2 linked regions of the Canis lupus familiaris genome follow. Each later gene encodes a partner of the first gene's protein in a complex. Links are inferred from orthologs where the notes say so. Each region holds a gene or a part of one and is shown in the gene's direction. Other genes may lie near its edges.

What was found.
Region 2: CAPZB (region 1) and CAPZA3 share a complex: the UniProt entries of both Homo sapiens proteins name them as parts of the WASH complex. The link is inferred for Canis lupus familiaris from reciprocal best matches to the Homo sapiens genes CAPZB and CAPZA3.

Annotation. Positions count from the first base shown.
Region 1 is NC_049223.1:78,731,840-78,737,765, forward strand, and holds part of CAPZB (F-actin-capping protein subunit beta), read left to right. Parts: intron 1-510; exon of another isoform or gene 511-823; intron 824-3,996; coding exon 3,997-4,118; intron 4,119-5,926. UniProt on the Homo sapiens protein: F-actin-capping proteins bind in a Ca(2+)-independent manner to the fast growing ends of actin filaments (barbed end) thereby blocking the exchange of subunits at these ends.
Region 2 is NC_049248.1:17,793,758-17,800,193, forward strand, and holds the start of CAPZA3 (F-actin-capping protein subunit alpha-3), read left to right. Parts: upstream 1-2,192; 5' UTR 2,193-2,364; coding exon 2,365-3,264; 3' UTR 3,265-3,277; intron 3,278-6,436. Other genes in the region: PLCZ1 (1-phosphatidylinositol 4,5-bisphosphate phosphodiesterase zeta-1), read right to left, coding at 304-427, 1,440-1,450. UniProt on the Homo sapiens protein: F-actin-capping proteins bind in a Ca(2+)-independent manner to the fast growing ends of actin filaments (barbed end) thereby blocking the exchange of subunits at these ends.

The DNA of each region.
Region 1 (5,926 bases):
GGGCTGGATCCCATTTTCTAGACCAGTGGCTGCCACATTGTTGTATTTCACAGGCCAGAAACATTTTTTTTAAAGGCGAGATGGGGGCTGGTGGAGAAAGAAAAACAGAAGAAGAGTAGATCATTAGGTTGTCAATTTTTTTAAAGATTTTATTTATTTGAGAGCACAAGCAAGGGCAGAGGGAGAGAGAGAAGCAGACTCCCCATTGGGCAGGGAGCCCAATGCAGGGCTCAAACCCAGGACCCTCGGATCATGACCTGAGCTGAAGGCAGGTGCTTAACCAACGGAACCTCCCAGATAGCCCTGGTTGTCAGTTTTTAAATAAAAAACCAAGTAAACCTATTATTTCATAAAACTAAGGGCATCTTGATACCCTGCCCCCCAAAAGGCAGTCTCCAAATAAAAGATGAACATGTTTAACTACATGAAGAATTTTGTCATTTTGATTATAGTCTCTCTTTACCTGAAGTATTTTCACCACAGCAGTGATGGTTTTTTGTTTTTGTTAAGATTTTTAATTTGCTTATTCATAAATGAGAGACAAGAAAGAAGCAGAGAGAGACACCTGATGTGGGACTCAATCCCAGAATCCTGGGATCACAACCTGAGCCAAGGTAGACGGTCAACCATTGAGCCACCCAGGCACTCCAACAGTGACGTTCTTATTACAGACCAGCAGCAGCCGGTCTCCAGCAGAGCTTATCCAGTGCATTGGACACATGAACACCAGAGCAAAGGCTAGAACCCAGTCTCTTAGTTCCCAGTCTGGCCACCATTGCTGTGCTGCTCGGGGTCACATGGTAATAAAAATGTAGGACTTTAATTAAAATGCCAGCTCTCTTTGTCTAGGGCTTTCCCACTACCTCGCGATTCATATTTGGGGAATGTCTGGTTGGAACTACAAAGTGAAGCGGGTCCTTGTGTCCATCAGAGTTCAGTTCTTGACGGCAAACTCTTGATAAAGATCCTTACTGCACACCAATTTATTAACTTCAAAACAAAGCCAGTAGGTGTTCTGGAGGCTCCATGTGGTAAAATTCCTCCCTCCCATCCAAATACACCCGGCCCTCACTATCACCAAGCACGGCTGCCATAGGTGCTGGGAGTACAGGCCTGAACAAGGTGAAGTCCCCACCCTGGCAAAGTCTGCATTCTAAGGAGGGGAGACAGACAACAAATAAATCAGTAGACGTGTTAGCAAGAAATTACTGAAATACTTGTAATTCGTGGATTAACCTTTTGATCAGTGGTGCAGCTGAGCCTATTTTATACTGAATCCCGTTATCTTGTAAGCTTTCCTATGTGGGGGGCCGGTGGGGAAGGGGAGACAGCTTGGCTCCAGGCAGAACTGGGGATCAGAACCGGATGCTCAAAGGTCTGTTTTTATGCAGTGCCTGAAGCAGTGTGGTGAATTCAGGTGGGACCCAGTTTGACGTTGCCCTCAAAGAAGCACGTACAGCAGACAATGCTGAGTACAGAGGAGGGAGGGTGGCATGTGGGTGTTCGATGCTAGCGTGTGTGCCCTCCCCCTCGTTGGGCACTGGACTGAATGCCCAATGCAGGTCTTTTGTGATACCCCAAATCACGGTGAATAGGTTTTGCTATCCCCACATTACAGATAAGGAAATCAGGTCTTCATAGAGAAGTGAAAATGACTTGCCCAGGGTCCTAAGGGTGGTAAGTGGTAGAGTCAGGAAGTCACACTTCAGAGCCTGTTTGCTTAGCCTCTGCCACAGTCCAGGATGAATCGGGCCCCAACCATTTCAAATGGGGTTTGAAGCAGAAGTCAGGGCCCAACAGGGAAGCTAAGGCAACACTCAACAGAACAAACGGTGGTGCAAAGGGCTTGTGGTGACCAGCTGCCACATAGGTGCTCAGGACCATCCGCAGGAAAGCAAGCGATTTTCCAATCCCAGCTGCCTTGGATGGAAGCTGTTCCTTGCCTTGGCCAGGACTTCTTTCCAGGCTCTGTGGCCGTTGGTTGTTGAGCAGGGAGGTTATTTGCCGCCTTGGATGGGAGGGGGTTACTTGCTGCCACAGTGTGCCTTTGGCATGCACTGTCCCTGCTCTCAGTTGTCTGTTGAATCAGAGTTAGTCAGAGGGGGAGATTTCAGCCTCCCCTGCTTGCTTCCTGTGTAAGCCTTGGGCAGCTTAAGGACTCTGGTCCTCAACTGTCTAGTCTTTACAGACAGATGTCTGTAATGGGCATGAAGCTGCCTGCTTTACAGGAGGAGAGTGAGCTCTCAAGTGCAGTCTGCCAAGTATATGTAAAGGCCTCGCCTAATCCCTGGTACCTGGCAGACACTTGGATGTGCTAGGGGTTTGATGTGTGTGTGTGTGTGTGTGTGTGTGTTTTAAGATTTTATTTATTTATGCATGAGAGACACACACACAGAGAGAGAGAGAGAGGGGGGCAGAGACACAGGCAGAGGGAGAAGCAGGCTCCATGCCGGAAGCCTGACATGGGACTCAATCCCGGGTCTCCAGGATCAGGCCCTGGGCTGAAGTCGGCGCTAAACTGCTGAGCCACCCGGGCTGCCCGGGGTTTGATATTCTCATCACGAAAACTAACCTTGAAAATAGCCTCATTTGGGGCCCTTAGCTGGCTCAGTCGGTAGCACGTGTGACTCTCGATCTAGGGTTGTAAGTTTGAGCCCCATCTTCAGTGTAGAGATTACTTAAAAAATAAAATCACAAAAGACAGAAATAGCTGTGGGGGGGGGGGGGGTGTGGAGGACACGGGTGGCCGTTGCAGATTGCGCCGGAGGTTAGTGGTGTGGACATCTCTCACAGGCTAGAGGACCGGCAGTGGTCCATGTAGAGGAAACCGATGGTTTCACTGAGGCCAGAGTTTATGCGAGACGAGGTGACCATCTTCCAGTTGTGGCAGCCAGGGCCGTGTGAGCTGCTCCGAAGCACCTGGGGGGCTGGCAGAGGGGCCCAAAGAAAGCAGCCCCCGGAGGCTGGGTGGTCTCCGAGGGGGCGGTCCCCATGTCCTCACCTTCCTGGAGGCGGTCGGGGTCTTCCAGCCGGTGGTCTGCCCCCCCGCCGAGCGGCTCTTCTGGGTATCTTTGCCACATGACTTAACTTTTCCATTTGGAAGGGCTGTTGGTGCAGTTGGCAGCCACCATCCTGGTAAACGATATGGTGGGGCCTCCGTAAACCCAGGGCCATGAAACGAATAAGTCAGCACATTGAAAATATAGCGTGGAAGTGACTCAAGCCCGAAGGAATCCGTTTCTGAAAGTGCTGCCATCCCTTCCTGGAATATTTTGGTGGAAATGGATGTTTGAATTAGGAGGAGGCGGCCTGGTTGCTGGTGGGGCCCTGTGTCCGGTTGGGCAGGATTTGCGCTGGGAATCCGCCCCGCCTGGCCAGGCCCCGGGGCCCTCCTCCTCAGTGACGCGGCTCCGTGTGGGTCCGAGATAAGCCCGCTGGAGCTCGGCTCTGCGCGAAGCTAGTGTGAAGCACCTTTGCAGCAGGTAGGGTTGACTCTGCGAGCCAACCTGGTAATGCTTGGCCAGGGGCCTGGAAAGTATTGGAAACTCCACCCCGCACGGGAGCCGGTGGGAGTTCTCGAGCACGGTCGGGTTATTCTCAGAGTTCTTTGGATTCCTATGTATTTCAAATGTTTACCTTCTTCTCAGGACATGAGCTTGTACTTTGCCCACCAGAGACCAATACCAAGCACATACGTACTTAAACGTACCAGACCACCCTGGCGACCAGGTAATTAAAGCTGCACGCAGATTTGGAAGGAAGGCTGTGTTGGAAATCACGCTCCGCTGTAATTCAAGAACAGGTTTCTTTATGGAGGGACACAGTTGGTGTCAGACACATGTGGAAAAGAAAAGAACAGGCCCATGATTCTGGCAGAGTACCAAGGGCCAGATGTTAAATGTGCTGACCATGATGTGGCTCCGGTTGCCATTAGCCAACCTGGATTCGACGTGTTGTTTTAACCCCTGGCTCTGCCTTTTCCTTCCTTCGCGCCAGGTCCCCAGTCTGTGTGAAGATCTCCTGTCTTCTGTTGACCAGCCCCTGAAAATCGCCAGAGACAAGGTGGTGGGAAAGGATTACCTTTTGTGTGACTACAACAGAGATGGGGACTCGTACAGGTGAGCTGCCAGGCCGGGGCCAGGCGCAGTCCCTGTCGCCTGGGACCACTGAAGTCCGGCCGTCCTTCTGTCTGTCTGTCCTCCCTATCTCCCTCCCCACTTCCCTTCCTCCCATCCTTCCTTCCGTCCAGTCCAGCAGTAGACGTTTGTGGAGTGCCTCCAGTAGAAGCGTTGGAGACTCGGCATGGAACAAAGGGCCCCTGCCCTGGCAGAGCTTCCAGTCTAACAGGAGAAGGCTGTCGTTACCACACGGTAGTGGCAGGAAGTCCTGCGAAGTTTGCAGGGTGTAGGGTGTGCATAAGGTGGGGATCTGGAGCACGAGGAGGGCCTATGTGGGTCAGGGACGTCGGAATGAAGCTTGGTCCACTACATACACGACTTTCTTTGTCTTCCATCACCATGCTGAGGGCTTGGACAATGAGGTAGTCATTAGTCCCTGCCCTGAGCGATCACTATTCTAGATCGGGGGATGCACAGGGATGCACTTAGTGGCGGGATGCCGTGTGCTGTGATGCATGCCGCCAGGGCCAAGCTTATTCAGAATTTGAGGGTAGCATGGAAGAGGCTGGGGAAGCTCCAGGATAATTTCCTGAAGGAAGTGATGTCCGAGCTAGGTTTTTAAGGGTGTCTAGGAGTTCTTCCTATTAAGAAAGATCAGGAATCCCTAAACTAGCCACCATTTCTGTGGTGGATTGCTGTAGTCAGTGCCTCGGAGAATGGTGGAGGAATGCAGTCTGCTTTAGGTTTATTTAGAGACCACTGAACCTGGGCTGAGTCTTAAAGATTCAGCTTAATGTTCTTTTGGGGGCCAGGGGCAGGGTCTGAGAGGGGGAAGTAGGGAGAGATGCGTGGAGTCAGCCGACCTCAGCTCCGAACCAGCACTGCCGTTTTGACAGATTACTTGTTATGTCTGGTCTTTTGTTTTCTCACATACAATCTGGAAATAAGAGGATCCATTCTTTGAGCGAATGCATGGGGACCTCTCTGTAAGCGTGCACTGTACGTGTTGGCCCCGAGTCCAAGTCCCTCTTCTGTGGGGCTTCCATCCCAGTGAGGACACCAGGTCGCTGGCAATGCCAAAATGATAGGGACCTGGGAAGGTGAGTCGGAAGGAGAGGCGGGGCGGAAGGTCAGGGAAGGCACGTCTGTGAGTGGTAATACGTGAGCTGAGACGTGGAGATGAGACAGCCGGGTAACGCACCGTCGGGGTGTCAGGTCCCCGTGGGAGCCAAGCCGGTGGGGCTCCAGCTTGGCTGGGAGGCCGGAGCGGGGGTGAGGTCAGAGGTGCAGCAGGGCAGGTGGCGCCAGGCCGTGAAGGATGCAGCAGAGTCACCGGGGGTTACCAGAACTGACACACACCACGTGTTCCAAAACGGAACTGGGTGTGAATCACAGAGATTTCATTAATACTGACTTTTCAGAGAGACCAGATGAATGTTTTATAATCATGTCCCTTTGCCAGCTTCGGATGGAAGTTAGGTGAAAAATAGATTTGGGCCTCGTCCAGACCAGAGACCTGAGTGGAGATGGCGAGCAGTTGTCGGACTGGAGGTCCCTCCTGAGAGCAGGGCCAGCAGCCGCACATGTCCCGGGGGTGGGGACTCAGTGGTGGAGGGTGACCCCAAGGCTTCAGGCCTGGGCAGCCGGAAGGCGGGAGCCACTGTGTGTTGAGGTGAGGAAGACCCTGGGAGGACCTGCTCAGGGGCCATTGGAAGCCTGAGATGTCCGTTCAGTGGCAGTGGAGGTGTCCCGGAGGCTGTGGGTAGCTGCAAGCTCCAGGAGCGAGGGCAGGACGAGGGGGAGATGCA
Region 2 (6,436 bases), on another chromosome or scaffold:
TTCGATCTAATCATATGAGCAATCCTAATCTTATGTGAATATTCCTATATATTCACCTAATTGTGTTAAATTGATAATCTGGTATTATTTCAAATTTTATCAATAACTCATTTTATCACCTACCTAAATTCTCTCCTTCTTGATTATAAATATATTTAGCATAATTAATTGCTTTAATTCTTAGAAGATTACTTTTTCATATGTATTTTCTGCAGAAAGCATCCAGAAGTAGCTATTGACATCTCCCTATATTGAATTAAGTCCTTCTAGGGTGGGATAGACAGGGAGCAGATATCATCTCACCTTGAAAATAGATTTGACATGAGTATAATTGCACGGAATATCTAATTTTTCAAGTAATCTGTGAGTTTTTTCTAGGTTAATTTTTCCACCTTTAAATTCATCCCGAATCATTGACAAAAACCATGTATAAAGCACAAAAAAAGAAGTTAAGGAAATTCTCACAGAAAATCATGAAGTACTTAAAATGCCTAAAGAAGTATTTTATTTCTCTTCAGTTTAACGTTTTTATTTTATTCTTAAAGGATAGCCTATCTTGTGCTTAAGTAACAACATAATTCTATGATAAATAATATTTAAAGCAAAACTAAATAGGTACTATTCCGTATTAAAAGTATGAAAGAATTCCAGGAAAAGAATAAAAATAAACATTTGAGAAATCAAGTTATTTGGGAAATGTAGTCTGTTTCCTGAAGAAATGGGCCTGGGGTCAGCTGGGCTTCCAGATCTCCCTGTCTCTTGACCTCTCTCAGCTTCACTTCCTTTGTCTGAAAAGTGGGCAAATTAATACTTAGGAAGTTGGGGGCATTAAATGAGCTCTTAACATACTAGTATACCCAGTTTCTGCTATTCTGCTACTAAGTGTTCAATAAATAATAACCATGTCTGGTATAATTATTATCATCATGACATCAGTTAAATGTCAAGCTATGCACATGCCAAAAAAAAAGTGCAACATTTTAAGTACCATCAAAAATGGTTAAAAATGCCATGCTGAGTGTATGTTTGGTATGAAGTGAAAACTGAAATAAGCGAGCTTACTTCTTGTATACAGATAAACTATAAAAATTAGGACACTTCAATTTGAAAAACTACAGTTGAGAATTGATATGACAGTTTATAAAATCATGAAAGGTATAGGTAAAGAATGTTCAAAATCCCACTCAAATTCAGATCGTTAAAACAAAAAGCCCTTAAATATAATGGCTATGATTTAATATGGCAAAGCTCATGTTCTTATAAGAAAAACACAGGAAGCTTAGAAAAGCTTAGGATGGATGGAAGGAAGCAGTTTATACTTAAATGAGAGAGGCTTAACTTCAGAACTCTTCAAAAAGAATGAGAGGGGAATCAAGCAAAGGGGATAAATCAATAAAAAGAAGAGGAAAGAGGAAGAGAAAGGACTTCTGAGTGGATATTTGTTCTCCATGTTTTCATGACCTGCTCCGTTTCTCCTTGCTTAGAAGTCTCTCCCCATTACGTGTTGTCATGGGTTCCAAATATAGTTAAATCTGCCCTTTTGTTGTAAAGGAATTTCTTTATATTCATCAGCTGTTGCCTCTGCCCTTTTTCTAGAGAGAAAGCAGAAAATACAGAGTGGTTTGTGACTGTGTTCTTTGGAGATCGCTCACACTTCAATCCCACAGAAACCATACGCAAGGCTGGTCCCTGCACTTCACTGCCCTTGAACATCTCTAGCTTCTTGTTACATTTTGCCCATCTTCAAACCCTCCATGTTTATAAATGCACCATCCTCTGCTCTTTGGAATTTGTCTATCAACTGCCATCATATCTTGTTTTATTTTTACTATTTTGTTGACTCACCTCCCGCCGAAATTTTTCAACATAATGTGCTTCCAGTGGGTTTGGGGCAACTACCCTGAGGGCCTGAGAATAAATCAATGCCACTGTGTTCCCCACGGTGAAAGGGCTGCCAAACAGTTTCTAGAAACTCTGGGCTGCTTCTATAGATCCCTGGCAACATATAATGCACACAGAGACACACCACTTTTGAAGAAAGCTGTTCAGGAGGTTAAGTTCTTAAAATCTTCAAAATATGTATAGCTGTTGGCTGGGTACCACGCTGTCAGGTGACTGTCATGTTTTTCTTTGGATCTGAGCACCCATTGTGATATCATCGAAAGTTCCATGCTTCATAGAGCAAGCTTCTTTATGACTTCATCAGGAGACTCAGAGCTTGCCAGACAGCCTGTTTTCATGGTTAGACATAGTAATCTTAAGCTTGAATGTTTAACACCTTGATGGGAAAGGTGTCTCATGGAATGTTTTCTCATCCTTTGAACACTCTTAATTTCAGAAGCCTTGCTTCTGCTGCAACCAAACATGTCACTTAGTGTTCTGAGTAGGAAAGAGAAAGAAAGAGTAATTCGCAGACTGTTAATACAAGCTCCTCCAGGGGAATTTGTAAATGCTTTTGATGATCTCTGTCTGCTTATCCGTGATGAAAAACTCATGCACCATCAAGGTGAGTGTGCAGGCCACCAACACTGCCAAAAATACTCTGTACCACTCTGCATCGATGGAAATCCAGTACTCTTATCTCACCACAACGTAGTGGGTGACTACCGATTTTTTGACTATCAAAGCAAACTTTCTTTCAAATTCGACCTGCTTCAAAACCAGCTAAGAGACATCCAAAGTCACGGTATCATTCGGAATGAGACAGAATACCTGAGAAATGTTGTTCTGTGCGCCTTAAAACTGTATGTGAATGACCACTATCCAACAGGAAATTGCAACGTGCTGAGAAAATCGGTGAAAAATAAGGAGTTCTTGATAGCCTGCATTGAGGATCACAGCTATGAAACAAGAGATTGCTGGAATGGCCTTTGGAAATCTAAGTGGATTTTCCAAATAAATCCATTTCTAACCCAAGTAACAGGAAGAATTTTTGTGCAAGCTCATTTCTTCAGGGCTGTCAACCTTCATATTGAAATCTCCAAGGACCTGAAAGAAAGCTTGGAAGTAGTTAACCAAGCTCAACTGGCTTTAAATTTTGCAAGGCTTGTGGAAGAGCAAGAGAATATATTTCAAGCTGCAGTCTTAGAAGAATTACAGGAGTTATCGAACGAAGCCCTGAGAAAAATTCTACGAAGAGATCTTCCAGTGACCCGCACTCTTATTGACTGGCAAAGGATACTCTCTGACTTGAATCTGGTGATGTATCCTAAATTAGGATATGTCATTTATTCAAGAAGTGTGTTATGCAACTGGATAATATAAAGGATTGCTCCTGGTAATTGTCTTGACCTGATGTAGTTGTGTTTCTGGGAGGGGTGTTGGGATTTTCCTAAAGTTGAAAAGCCACTGGAGATGCCTATCATATGACAAATGCAAATTTAAATTAGGGAAAGGTGTAACAAATAATTTTACTCAGGGAATATTAACCAATAAGGGAAGAAAAGGATGATTTAAATGTGTTTCATGGTAGTAACCATCATAAAGCCAGAGATGTTTATTAGAACCTAAAACAACTTGATAGAATGTGGCACTCAGAAGTATTATAAAGGTGGCTAGGGTATGTATGTGGGGTGTGTGTGTGTGTGTGTGTGTGTTTGTAGGAAGGACCTTTGACTTTCATTGTACCTGGAGAAGGTATGCAGATGAAAGTCACTCTGCAAGTGATACTTCATATAATTCAATTGAGTCCTACCCCAACCCAGAGATAGTGGATTTCACCAAGTGATGTTAGTGTTGGATTTTCCATGAAACCAAAAGATATCAAAAATCTACCTCAGATGAAGAACTATTAGTAAACTTGAATCCACTGCCATCATACCTTTCCCTGTCCTCCAAGAATTGCAATTATTCAAATCTCTGGGCTTTTCTGATAACTAACATGGTCTTTGAAAAATCAACTCAAAAAGCCTGACCTCTCAAGCTTATATAGTCAGGATCTTGTGAAATCATCACTATAAACATTTATGAGTGTTTATTTCATGCCAGGCCCTGTGCTAAGTGATTTGCACATAATTTTTCATGATTAGGCTGGCACTAGTAGTAACTTCATTTTGTGTGAGAAAAAAAATCTAAGATTTCAAGTTGTTTAATTCATCTAGGCACATAGTAAGTGACAAGTGTGTCTGACTCTGCTTTTAACCTCTAGAGTAGGACTGCTCTCCATGGAGGCTTGTTTCATTAAGAATTGTGAACTCTACAGTGATTTAGGCAAGTATTTCACCCAAAAGACACTTCCATAGGAACTGAAATGGGTGGACTGCTGTTTTCTAGCCAAGACTACTATTCACTTACCTTATCACTATTCCTAGCAAGGTTACTGACCACTTGCCTCTGGTCTCAAATTCCAAATCTAAACCTCTCCAATAAGATTGCGATAGAGCAGTAGATAGGCCCCATCCCCTTATTCTGATTACTGGTAGGCAAAATACTCTGTATTTTGGATCCATGCTGTTGAGAAAATATCTTATTCTGCCTTAGAAACATTGGAGCAGACAATATTGGAATTCCTAAATCTCAAACCTTTCTACCTCAACTGGTGGTTCTTGGAGAATCTCAGGAGAATTACCTAGAACATATCTTTAAAAATACAACTTCCCAGTACCCATCTTCAGATTCGGATTTTGTAGGTTCAGAAATCTCTATTTTAGGCAATTATCAGAGATTACTCTGTTGCAAGGGATCCCAGGACCAAATTCTAAGAAATATTGGTCCAGTTATAAAGTGACATATCTTATGCTTTCTATTTACTTAATTAAAATCATTCCTTATAAAACTACTGTCAAATGAAGGTCATGTCTGCTACTTTACTGGATTCACCATGCACAGACTAACGACATACCTTCATCTGTTATAAAAGTTAAGGAAAACCTTTCTAAAGAAAAGTAGCAAAGACAATTGCTCTCATTGTACTAAAATATACCTATCTGACAGATTATTTAGCAAAAATTTAAATTGATATTATGGTTATATATGTAAGTGTTGATTTGCCAGAACATTCCAGAATAGGACTTAATGGTTTATGGAACAATCACAGAAGCATTTAGCTCCCCCTGAAACATGGGGTTTTTAAAATAATATTTATTTGTATGTCTTGATATAAAAAGTCACATGTATAAATCATAAAAAATGCTTGCGGTATAAAGCATTTTGGCCTTTCCTCCGCCCCCCCCCCATTTAATTTTACAGAATTGTTTTAAATATTAAGAATTTATGACATATAAAAAATTTTATCCAGTTCTTTTTCTATAATGTCCTATATCATAAATATAGTCCCATGTCATTAAAATTCCTTGAGCACATAATTTTAATTATTTACATGATATTCATACTGTTCATGCACCATAACAAGACAACTATTTCTCTATTCATACATAATTTAAATTTTTAGCATTTTATATATGTTATTAATTGGGCCATTGTGAACATTTCTATGCATAAAGCTATGCCACGTTGTGGATTATGTCCCTTAAGATAAATTCTCTAAAATTGCATATTGAAAAGATATGAACATATTAATGATTTCAATACATATTGCCAAGTTGCTTTCCAGAAAAATTTAACAATTTATAATCCCATCATAAGAGAATATCTAGCTCACATCAAATGTTTTCTTTGATAGGCAACAGACCTTAAAAGAATATAAATGAATTAAAAAGGTGTTCACTAACTTATGGTATATTATACCAAAAACTGCCCTACACTGATTTTATTTGGTAGTGATTTTCTTTGTGTGGAGCTGGCATAGCCAGAAAAATTTACTACTACTCCTCTCTGTACCTTTATCACACATGTATACACACACACAAACACACAAATATACTAAAACCTATACTTAAACCCTATACTTAAACCTACTCTCTAGCAGTATACATATATACACACACATGACCAGGCATATACACACATAGACAAAAAATGCTTCAGATCCTGAGGACTCAATGCATCATTTTTTAATATTCCAGTGTTTTCTCCTCCCCATCCCTCCCAACTGGAATATAAGCTCCTTAAGAATGGGGACCTTGTCTATCTCAAGGGTCTGGCCCATTACTGACTGTTATTTGGTAGTCACTCAATGAATGAATGAATGAATAAACAAATGAATAAGGGTAACAAAAACATGAAACATGCTAAGTTTAGTTGGCCTTAAGATTTTGTAAGACATCAATTCTTGCTGTCCCTTTAGGAACTGAATATTCCTTTGCAGACTTCCCCCAAGCTGATGTTTGACCCTTCCTTCTAAGGCAAGTGATTGCATTCTGAAGCTGCCATTGGCTGCCTACGACTCTGATGAAAACTTTTGCTCGTCTCCAACAAGTTTAAGAAAATCAAATTATAAAAAAAAAGAAAATCAAATTCTTTAAAAGTCATGTATCTTTCAATTTTACATGATCCTCTGTCAAAGATCTTTGTGCCCTTCCTCTTAGGGGTCTGGTCC